3 linked regions of the Arabidopsis thaliana genome follow. The protein of the gene in region 1 interacts with the protein of each later gene in a pairwise test. Each region holds a gene or a part of one and is shown on either strand. Other genes may lie near its edges. The genes, in order: TLP7, AT1G44830 and LBD38.

What was found.
Region 2: the proteins of TLP7 (region 1) and AT1G44830 interact in a two-hybrid assay, tested with the Arabidopsis thaliana proteins (one large-scale study listed by BioGRID).
Region 3: the proteins of TLP7 (region 1) and LBD38 interact in a two-hybrid assay, tested with the Arabidopsis thaliana proteins (one large-scale study listed by BioGRID).

The regions. Positions count from the first base shown.
Region 1 is NC_003070.9:19,890,314-19,895,314, reverse strand, and holds TLP7 (tubby like protein 7), read left to right. Parts: upstream 1-1,810; 5' UTR 1,811-1,885; coding exon 1,886-2,206; intron 2,207-2,568; coding exon 2,569-2,656; intron 2,657-3,171; coding exon 3,172-3,301; intron 3,302-3,477; coding exon 3,478-4,078; 3' UTR 4,079-4,380; downstream 4,381-5,001. Other genes in the region: AT1G53325 (F-box associated ubiquitination effector family protein), read left to right, coding at 1-88.
Region 2 is NC_003070.9:16,932,013-16,935,190, reverse strand, and holds AT1G44830 (Integrase-type DNA-binding superfamily protein), read right to left. Parts: upstream 1,493-3,178; 5' UTR 1,400-1,492; coding exon 764-1,399; 3' UTR 623-763; downstream 1-622.
Region 3 is NC_003074.8:18,512,511-18,516,736, forward strand, and holds LBD38 (LOB domain-containing protein 38), read left to right. Parts: upstream 1-1,755; 5' UTR 1,756-1,954; coding exon 1,955-2,138; intron 2,139-2,232; coding exon 2,233-2,792; 3' UTR 2,793-3,621; downstream 3,622-4,226.

The sequences.
Region 1 (5,001 bases):
AGATCTGTGCAAAAAGATTAAGATAGATGAAGTTGTATGTACGTTCCAATCCTGTGCCTATGTTCCCAGTTTGATCTCCATTCCTTGAGAGACTTTTGCTGAAGCTAGTGAACAAAGAAGAAGAAATTTTACAAGTTTGATTTTCAATTATGGATTTCTTGTTTTATTTATTTATTGGAGTTCGTTTTTATTCGTTACCAATCTTTCTCTTCACTTTATATAATGGTTTGTTTTCTAAGTCTCAACCATCTCTTACTCTGGTTTATATCATCATTTTCTTTCTCTCAAACTAAAACAACATCTAGAGAAATGGCTCCTTCCTTTTCATGAACATATAAATAGGTAAACTTCTCTTCGTTTTTCTTTTCTTGTATATTTTATTTTCTTACTCTTTTTTTTTTAGTTTCCTTCAAATTTTCAGGTCCAAGTTGCTTCATGCCCAGTTGGTTACTGCCATAGTGAGTGGTCTTGTTTTCAAGAAAATTACGAGAAGTAGGGATATGACATCAACGTGAACATACCAACTCTTGTTTCTCCATCCCCATGATCGAACCTGGAGAGGCCAAATGTGTGCCTAGTTATCTTTAGAGGCTTGTTTGTTTTTTTATCTAGTCTTGAAAGCTATTGAAATCACCATACCAATCTCAAGGTTTGTTTTCAAGAGTTGGGTTGATGAAATCAGTTTGTTGGTTGGAGGTCTTTCTTTAGTAGCTGTTGTGTCTATCACAAGTAATCAATTGCACTCAAAGTAGTTTTGCCAGCTTATGGTATAGTTTTGTCTAGGACAGTTAGGCTTGAGCGAGTTTATGTTTGATTTTATGTCAAATATTTGGAGAGGAAGAGAGATCTTAAAGTATTCGATCACTTGTCCATGACTTAAAATCTAGTCAATTAGCTTAGAGCTGACTAGCTCTAATTACTGCACGTAAAAGTGTTATTGATGCTTGGGATCGTGTCAACCACCATGCAAGAGAGTGGGATGCGAAGATAGTAGCTCAGGTGCCGGAAACTCATGATCAAAGCGGTGGTGTTACTAACGTTTATTTGGGCTAGTTATATTAATTATCTTATTGTTAGATATGACAGTTTATAGCATTAATAAACAATCTAAAAATCTATCTTTTTCTAAAACGTAAACAACAGACGTGGTACCATTACCAATATTGAATTTTATGAAGTACAAATGTTAAAATATATAAGTTGTACAAATGTTGGGTTGTGTTTTGTAATCCTTTTATTTTTTATTTTTTTGGTAGGATGTGTTTTGTAATCTTTTAGAACAAGTTGTAAACGTTTGTTTATTTGGTATAAAATCTTAACATTATAACCAAAAAAAAAAATCTCTAAGTTACAACTACACAAGCCCAAAAGGCAAAAAGTGATAAAAATAAATTACTAAATCCTAAACAAGTAATTTCATTTCAATAAAAATAAGGAATCTTCTAATATCACAAAATGAGTTATCATAAACCAAATCCATAATCTTAATTCTTAAAGATTGAACAAAATTCAGATTTAACAAATGTCGAAATGTTCGTCTATCAACCTCAGTTACACAAGTCATAAGATTTTTCTGTGTTACTTAAATTGAATGTGCTATGAAAAAATAACATCATGTATCCGGTTTAGTCGTCGTTTCCGGTTTAGATTTCTCACTTTTTCGACCACTTATAAAGTAGAGAGACGTGTCCCAAATAAAAAGATCTGTCACTTATTCGTATATCACAGCTGTGTCACTATTACCCAAAAATATCACTCCCTTCTAGATTTCGCACGTTGGTATTAATTATTATATAGATTTTTTTTTCCCAGAAACAAATCTCATCCCTTTCTCTCTCTTCCCCTCTTCTCTCTATTTCCAGATCGAAACATCTCTCTTCACAAAATGCCTTTGTCACGGTCCCTCCTTTCGCGGAGGATCTCGAACTCTTTTAGGTTTCATCAGGGAGAGACAACGACGGCACCGGAATCCGAATCGATTCCTCCGCCGTCGAATATGGCCGGTTCTTCGTCATGGTCGGCGATGCTCCCTGAATTATTAGGCGAGATCATTCGTCGCGTGGAGGAGACTGAGGACCGTTGGCCTCAACGTCGTGATGTAGTTACTTGCGCTTGCGTTTCTAAGAAATGGAGAGAAATCACTCACGATTTCGCTAGATCCTCTCTTAACTCTGGCAAAATTACTTTCCCTTCTTGCCTCAAATTGGTACGCCTTTTGTATTGATTTTACCATTTCATTGATTTTTGTTTCGTCAAATTAGGTTTCGTGTTCTCTGATTTAGGAATCGATTTAGGTGAATCTGTGAGTTTTGTTATCTCTTTCACATTATAGAGACACTGTTGAATTACCTAAATCAAGCTTCTTATAAGAATATTCTGTCAAGTTGATGGCGTTTGATCATGTCATTTGAAAGCTATTCACAGTTGTTTTGTTCGCTTAATGGTATTTGTTCTTGCTTTAGCTTAATATGCCTTTATAGATGCTATTGTGGCTTTGCTTTTGTTAAGAGCAATTGGAAAAAAAAATGGGATGAGAATTGAGATAGTTTAGTGTATTTTGAAATGCAGCCAGGTCCTAGAGACTTTTCTAATCAGTGCTTGATAAAGAGGAACAAGAAGACATCAACGTTTTACTTGTATCTTGCTCTAACACCATGTAAGTTATTTCAAAAGTATTACTTTTCCTTTTGCTTCATTCTTATTGTTGATTCAGTCAAAATTAGAAAAGTATATATGGCTTGAAATGAAAGTTTTAGATAGGCTTTTTAAGTGTGAAAACGATTGAATTAGTGACTTCCTAAGGTTGTCTCAGTCTTTTACCTAGTAATGCCTTGTCTTTGAAACAACTTACCAACCAATTGCCATTAATAAGTATTGACTTTTTTGTTGACCTTGGTTGATGATGAAGAAAATTCTGAGCTGCAGTCTAATATAGGAGTTGACCTGTGAAGTAGTTTGCTAGGCATTGTTAATCCTTTTATCTATATTCGGGTATCTTGACATCACTGAATGATATTTTGAGTTATATTTTCATTCCAAACTCAATGAAAATATCATTATATTAAATTTAAGAGCAAACTGCTTTGGAACAAGTTAAGTAAATTTTTCCTTTGCTGGCAAAAGGATCATTTTCAGGATTTATTAATTTAGTTTGTATTTTCTGTTCACCAGCATTCACTGATAAGGGAAAGTTTCTTCTGGCGGCGCGGAGGTTTAGGACCGGTGCTTACACTGAGTACATCATATCACTTGATGCTGATGATTTCTCTCAAGGAAGTAATGCCTACGTCGGAAAATTAAGGTATTGATATGTGCATTACTGAATATCCTAGGCGGCTAGGCGGCCATTTAATCTCTAAAGCAGGATTGCTATCTCAGAAGTTTTAAATTTGTTTTAAGGTTTGTTTTTTTTTGCTTAGAAGATGAGTGTGGCTTGAAAACTAAGGGTTCATGGTTTTTTTTTGGAAACTTCAACAGATCAGATTTTCTTGGGACCAACTTTACAGTATACGATAGCCAACCACCACACAACGGAGCAAAACCTTCAAATGGCAAAGCCAGTCGCAGATTTGCATCAAAGCAGATAAGCCCTCAAGTTCCAGCAGGCAACTTTGAAGTCGGTCATGTTTCTTATAAATTCAACCTTTTGAAATCAAGAGGTCCAAGAAGAATGGTAAGCACACTCCGATGCCCATCACCATCACCTTCATCATCATCCGCTGGACTCTCGTCTGACCAAAAGCCATGTGATGTAACCAAGATAATGAAAAAACCCAACAAGGATGGTTCCAGCTTGACAATACTAAAGAACAAAGCTCCTAGATGGCACGAGCACTTGCAGTGCTGGTGTCTGAACTTCCATGGACGAGTTACTGTTGCTTCGGTCAAGAACTTTCAGCTGGTTGCGACCGTTGACCAAAGTCAACCGAGCGGTAAAGGCGATGAAGAAACAGTTCTTCTACAGTTTGGTAAAGTGGGAGATGACACTTTCACTATGGATTATAGACAGCCTCTCTCTGCATTTCAGGCTTTTGCTATCTGTCTCACAAGTTTCGGCACTAAACTTGCCTGCGAGTGAAACCCAACAAAAGGCAACAGAAAAGAAAAAGTGAACTGGCTTTGCAAAAATGTAATGTTTTGATGTAATCATGTGTAAGTGTAAACACAAAGGTATGTGGAAAGGAGAAGCACATAAGTATTATTATGTAAGAAACATTATTTAAAACCCATAATCATAATGTATCTCTTAAGTATACCCATGTGGTTTTCTTTTATTTTTGAATAGAATTTGGGACTTCACATTCCTTCAAAGTAGGACTTCAATGGTTTTTTGGAAACATGACTTATTTGCAAAATATATACAAAAACAATGAATAGCAAGACTTTTTTCTTTTTGTCAGCAATGAATAGCAAGACTTAAGTAACATATTTTTAATTTTTGGCTTATACACAAGAAAAAAGTCGCATATTTTTGGTTTGGAACTTGAGCCGGTTCGATGTCTGACAAGTCGATTTGAAAAACTTCTTTATAATTTTTTACTTTTCGGTTTTATATTCTTTTGTATTTTACAACTGGATCTTGTTTATATATATCAATATATGTGAAATGAGCGTACTAGTACTATTATTGGTGTGGAATACTTTCGCATGCCCTAGTCTTAACTCTTAAGGATAAGTAAGGGCAGGTTTCTCTTTGTTTTCCAAATTTATCGTTCAATATTTCTTAAATTAGGATATAATGTACAATTAATCGTTCATTTCTTTTAATTAGAACCGTAGTTTGTACACATCACTACATAGCCACACTATAGTAATTAAGTGAAGCCTCATCAGAAAAGGAAAACGATCTATAGATGAAAAAGTTAAATACCCAAGAGAAGTGATTTTCAGTTAAAAGTATAGTTTTTGCTAAAAATATTTATAACGGCATTAATCACGATACTCGCGTAAGTAGTATACTCTACCATATACTATCTTTTAGTGAGTCGGAAATATGTCATA
Region 2 (3,178 bases), 3.0 Mb from region 1:
CTTTCTCTTTGGTTTTACCAATTCTAACCAGTCACCACACAAAACCATTCTGCATCTCTTGTCTCTTCTCTCTTTTTCCTTATCTTTCTTCTAAATAAATAATATTTATACACTTACTCTATTCAACAATAATTAAGTAGGATTAATCATCGCCTTCTATGACAAGCCTCATGAAACTTGCTTCTTACTCTTTGACTTTGCAAAACTTTTCACATGAAAAATCTGCTTTCTGTTTAACTCATTAGCTAATACTTTTATATCCTTAATAAAGAAAAATCATATATACAGTACTTATATCGCATAGTCATCTTACCACCACTTATTTTGTATCATGTACACATTTACATCAAACAGTGTTAGTGTTAAAGTCAGTAACGCCAAATTTTGCATTCATACTATAAAATCTGAAATGATTGTTTTCAACACTAACTCTTAACTTTTAGGTTTCAGAATTTAATCAACAACAATATGATTCTGTACTTTTTCGTTTTTACCTTTTAACTTGTTATCATTCGAAGTTCTTTGTTCAAAAGCTATAAATCTATTTCCATACTTAACCACTACTACTAGATTTAGTGAACTCTTAACATGAAAAATATCTAATTTCAAAAATAATTTAGATATTGGTACAAAGATCCCCAAATGTTCCATACATTGTGAGAATTGATAGAAAAGGGAAGAAAAAAATGTATAACACATTGTATAAGTTACATAACTCAAGTATATATATTGAAACAAAGAATAAGGTATAATGAAAGTAGAATCAGCAGAAGTTCCATAATCTGATATCTCCTTCCTCAAAGAAATCATCAGAAAGTGATGTTGTCAAATACGGCGCGGAGACTCCATTAATGAACATGAACTGATCATCACCATCAAAGCAGTTGTACCATGATGATGATTCAGACAAGGAGACTTGTTGGTCATACTGTGACATGGAGACAACATCATAGAGATCTTCAGATGGAGAGGAAAGCAATGGAGATGAAGTAGAGACTGATGATGAGGAAGGATCTGTGTTGGCAGCAGCAGCTGCAGCTGCTACTCTTTGTATAGACTTAGGGGACATGTCATTGTTGTTATCACCATTGTTGATAATATGGTAGAGAGAAGTTGAGATCTCTGGGAAGTTGAGATTATTAGCTGAGGATCCTTTAAGACATAGGAGTGCTGCGTCGTAGGCTCTAGCCGCGGCTTCAGCAGTTGAGTAAGAACCAAGCCAGATCCTTGTCTTTTGATTAGGAGCTCTGATCTCTGAAACCCATGAACCCCAACTTCTCATTCTCACTCCCTTGTACTTCTTCATCCTTATGGATGATGATGATGTTGATGAGGATGATGAAGATGATGATGATGGAGATGACATTCTCTTTGGTGTCTTTTGAAGTGTTTTCACCATTTTTGATACTAATTAAGGGAGGAAGTTGGAGGAGAAGAATGGTGTGTTTCTATTTATAGAGAACAAAAATGGAAAGAGAAACATAAAGAACTCAAAAGAAAAAAAAATACTATGAACATAGTCAAAGAAAGTAGCATGGGGCACACACAAAGAGATTAATACTTTTCTTTTAAATAATGTAAGAGACAGGTGTTTTTAATTTATTTATAAAAAAGATTTTCCTTAATCACAATCCCATATGCTACACCCAATCACAGATCACTAATAAGAGAATCCCTATTTTTTATTTTCAAAAATGCATATTTATTGATTTGACCTCCAAGGCTCCAAGCTAATTCTTTAGTTCCACAAAAGTACACTATTGTTTACAACTAAAAGTTACTACTTCTTGAGCCTCAGAATCTTGAATAAAAATGTAAATAACAAAAATCAGTACTCATATGAGAATATTAATATCAAGATACGACAGAAAGTTATAAAACATTATAAGAGGAAACATTGGATTCTATTTTTAGAGGCAACTTCTAGGAGCTAAGAGCATGTGATTTTTTAAGGTACAAACAAAAGACAAAGTTAATCATAAGAATAATTTAACTATCGAATTATTTTGATAAATGAGATGCAAAATGAAATCACATGCATGATTATAGATATATATATATATATATATATAATACAAAAATTACAAGTTTTTTTTTTTGGTTAAAAGGCCTAAACATAATTCAGAATCTTAAACGTTAAAGTAGCTGAAGTCATGTTTACCAAGGTAATGCACAAGAGCTGGTGCTCTTCTGTCTTAATGGGACTTTTAAAACCGCGTTAACTAGCTCTTTGTGTCTCCTTGTCACACGTAAAATTCTCTCTGTAAAAAGGCTTTTACTAAATTAATTAAATTCAGATTCTTTTGTCAAACTGCATTGTAATATTAAATAATATTGTACTACTAACTAAATAAACTAAAGTAAAATCGTCAAACCTCATAATAGTCTTGCACTGTTTATTAACTAAACTAATCTGCGGTTATATTTAGTCGGCACTAGAATTAAATTAAGACGCGTAAGAGTACTACTAAACTAATCTATTCGTGTTCACGTTCTAGCCAGACGACTCTATTTCTTTTTTCTCTTTTGGGGTACTATAATATAACAATAATGAAGGTTTTTTATTCATATCAAGAAACGAATCAACAGAATTGTTCGTTGGAAAATGCAGGCAACATTTTACAAAAGTTTATGATAAAACAAAACCAACAATGTTCTACCATTTTTATATTAATATTTGCACTCAATGACTGTAATTACAAACGTGGTATTTGAATAAATAATCAAATTAATTCCATCTAAAGAGAATGATTCAAATTTTGACTATTTTACTTTCTTTTAAGAAAAATAATAGTTATAACTAAATCTTACGTGACGAATTCTTTAACATTAGTATTCTATGTGCACATCTAATTTATCAAAATGAAGTTTTTATATGTTTTGGCTCTTATATCTACAACTTGTAGAACACATTTCCTCTACTACATTATTTTCGTTATGTAGACATCTAATTTATAAAACATATTTATGTTTTTGTCATATAATCATGTTATCTATGTTTTTGGATATATCTATATTATTTAGCGGGTTAAAATATTTGTATATCCAAGCTTATCAAATAAATTATACTTTTCAAAGTCATTTACGGAAAAAAAACATTTTACATTTTCTCTCAATATTTTACCAATATGACTTTGCTATTTTCTAAAAACAACTATAACATTCTCATTCACCGAAA
Region 3 (4,226 bases), on another chromosome or scaffold:
ACATCAATGAATGTAAGTAGGAATGCAATTTGTGCAACCTCTATTTGACAATTTCTTTCATTTCTTCTCAATAGTTTACAAGTCTCATACATTGTTTTTGTTCTGTTTTCAAAGAAATAGTTTTGGTTTTTCTATTGTATGCAATATGACTTCCCACTGTACATCATAAACATTGAAGTATATATAATATTTTTTCTATTGTGTTCTGCCGTACGTCTAACTTATAATCTATTTTATAACATTGATTTTACTAAATATATAAAGGTAAAATCTATCTTGTTGCATTCACTTCAGAAAATAAATTTTTGGAAGAAGGGCCACAAAACAATACTAATTTTCAAAAATTGAGATTGAAATTATGTTATAAGATTGATATTTAAAATAGGAATACCGTTGTAAAAATAAGTAGTTGATTTATCGAACATCTAAGCATCTGTTTAACACCAATTTTATGTCGTTGTTGATCAAAACTGTCGCGTTCAAGTGTCTTGTGTCGACTAATTAAGCAAATGAACTTTAGGTACCAGAAGTTCAACGAAACAATAATGCATTTTTAAATTACTAATGGACTGAAGTAATTGGGAATAAAGAAATATAAAGAGACGGCGGCATTCAGTGGAAAATTTGCCTAATTGGAGTGTAGGTAAGCACACCACGTAAGCCATGAACGGCGCCGTTTCACCGCATTGCTATAGGAAAGTAGAAGAAGACACTTTGACTTATTAATATCATTTTGTTGTAGATCTTCTGTTCATCATATATTTGATTTTGTTACTAGCTAATGTAAAGGAGAAAAGAAATGTTTGATTTGGTCACACACGTGAGACAGCATCGTAGGCAAAAAAACGCCTCTATCTTTCTTCTAAAACATTTTTCATATTAAATTATCAAAACCCTTAAGGTTGATTTAAGGGTCAGGTAGTGGATTTGTTTCGTTGAAGGGTCAGCTTAGCCTTAACCCTAAACAAAACAATCTCATTGGTTTCATAAATAAATTGTTTACAAAGTATACGTACTGCATGAACGAATGAACCATATCTATATTTATAAAACTCATAGAGACCAATAGTTTAAGAGAGGCACTTATATAGCTCAACAAATAATAGCGAACTAGAGAGAATATGATCTAATTAGTTATAAATCTCAATTTTGAAATTGAAGTGCGTTATTTCATTTGAGAATCTATGTGTTTTTTTTGTTGTTGTTAGATGAGAAGCTAGGTTTTTTTCTTTTCTTTACACCGATAATCGATAATATATGTTAATCACACTGATTTTTGTTTGAGACATGAAGATTCGAAAAATTTGTCAACGAATAAACACTGGATAGATAGAATTGAGATCTGCCATCAAATAATCGAGATCGTTCATGCATGACGCAAACATTTATATAGAAATGAAGCAAGTAAAGAATATGAAAAAGAATAGAAATGAGAAATTTATAAAGAAAGAAAAAAAGAACCAATGGTTGAGGAGGCAACTATTCGCGGGGACACGGAGCCGTTCGCACCCATCACCTTGGAATCTCTCTTTCTTCCTCTCTCCTCATCACCAACTAGTCAACAACCACACACCATTTTTAACTTTCATAATTAAACCTAACATAACATTTTTTTTTGTATAAACTATAGCATAAATTAAATTCAGTTAATGATAAAATAAATATATTTTGTAGCAATCATTCTATTTTGTAATTTGGTAGGGCTCTTTAAACTTTGATTATTATCCAATTTTTATTAAAATATAATAAAATCTCAAAGCCATGACCCATTCCTTCACTCAAGTATCAATGTCTATTGTCTATAAATATTACATAACTCTTCTTCTTCAACCAAACATTGAAACACTTTGTCCCACTCTCTCTCTTTCTCTTTCTTGTACCAAAAGCTTTTTGAATCTCCAAGATTATAGCAAAACCAAAGATAAAATACTAACTTAAAAGATTTCTGAAAATAATGAGTTGCAATGGTTGTCGAGTTCTACGAAAAGGTTGCAGTGAGAATTGCATCCTCCGTCCATGTATTCAATGGATCGAATCACCTGAAGCTCAAGGCCACGCCACCGTCTTCGTCGCTAAGTTCTTCGGCCGTGCCGGTTTAATGTCTTTCATCTCCGCCGTACCGGAATCTCAATGCCCTGGTACTTAAAAACAAAAACCTCTCGGTCCTTTAGATCTTCGTCTAAACGTTGTCGTTTTGGTTTCTGATGGTAAGGGTATTTGGTCTTTTTACAGCTTTGTTTCAGTCTTTGCTATACGAAGCTTGTGGGAGAACTGTGAATCCGGTGAACGGAGCCGTCGGATTGTTGTGGACGGGGAATTGGAATGTTTGTCAAGCGGCGGTTGAGACGGTGCTTCGTGGTGGTTCTTTAAAACCAATACCGGAGCTTCTTAACGGCGGTGGATTCGCCGGGTTTCCGTCTCCTACTTCCGACGAAGCTTCGGAGATCTGTACGGAAATGTTGAATCTACGAAAAGCTGATGATTCCGGTGATCGGAACATTTATCATCACTGCCGATTCTCAAGCTCTAGATCTAGATCAAGATCAACAGCTTCTCCGCCGAAACGGAAACGATTATCGTCGGAACAACAACCTTCGTCGGAGCTTGATCTCTCTCTTATTCCTATTTATCCGATTAAAACCTTGCCGTTTAAGGAAGATACACCGTCGATGTACTCGGAGGAGTCTGTTACCACGGTTTCGTTTCAAAACAACAACGCCGGTGATCGGTACGTACGCTGCGGCGGAGGAGGAGGAGGAGCAACGACAAAGTTGCTCAATCTCTTCGCTTGAACGGCGTCGTTTTTGTTATGAGGGTTAAAAATGTAATTTCGAGTAACTTTTTGTTGTGGCCTTTTTTGGATTAATAGCCCTTAATATTTTGTGAAATGTAGCAAATTACGTGATTTATTTCTCTCTTTAATTATGAGAAATTATCCAAAGTAATAGAGAATAATGATATAATTCGTCGGTGGTGTACTATTTTATTTTTAGTTCATAATCAATTAATCATCATTCTCATCGAATTCAAATTAAAAGATAACAATGATAATGTGTACGATAAATCAATACTTATTAGCTACTAAATTATTTGTTTTTATCGACATATTCAACATTAATAATAATAATCACGAATCGGAGTCAAAATATACATCTCTCCAAATCCAAAGCACCGGCAAAGTCTTCGCACCCAACATATTTCGATTCTTTAAGGACCAACATGTTGTAATGTACACACAATCATACACAACTTGCTATTTTGATAATCATCTTGATTACTACTCGCAAAACAAAATATTAGCATTTATTATCTCCAGGTTTATTGTCTTTCGATACTACATTTGTTATTCAATGGTTTAATGATACCTAGTAATAGTATAACACAATAGTACGTATTCCTCGAGATGTGATGATCTTTTTGTGATATCTCAAATTATCCTATACTAGTACTGCAACGGTCTTCTTCGCAACACTCTCAATGGCATATGTACATCTTCATGTGTTTCTTTCTATGTTTAAGATTAGTCTACCACACATTCTCCGGATGAATACAAACTCTAAAAAAGATTAAACAAGGTGCATTACATAATATAAGTAATTGTATGTATAGAGTAGATATGCATTATATAATGCATGTAGTTGGGTTGAACCCAAAAAGTTGGGGTTATAAAGGGAAAGCTTTTGGGGGAGGCGGCTTTTGGACGACGCAAAGAGCCGTTTATGTCACACTTCATACCTTCGTGGAATCTTCAAAAGCACTCTTTTTTTATTGTTCTTCTATTCTTCTTCACATTTTGTTTAATAAAAACAACAAGGTATTGTTGCTCTATGGATGATGGCGTAGAAACAATGAAATTGACCAATAACATGTTTGCTTTTGAAACGTTGAAATGAGAATGGATTGTTGTTGGAACAGAAGAAGTGATTTGAAGATCTTATGAAGTGGGACATATTTTAAATATACTTTCGACCAGCCAGTCACTAGTGGGCAAACAATTGCTTGTGGTCCACGTCACTCTCCTTTCCTTTTCCGACCACCGGACTCTTTATGTTATTTTTGAAAAATATAAGTTTTTAGTTCTGACCATTTCAAGTTTTATCAACAACCGGGTATCATCATTCGTTCAATCTCGTCTGTTTTTTACATCTAATTAGTGTCTAATCATGAGTTACAAAATTTATGGAGCTAAATTTCTTTTTCTACTTTTAAACTATGGAGCTAACTAT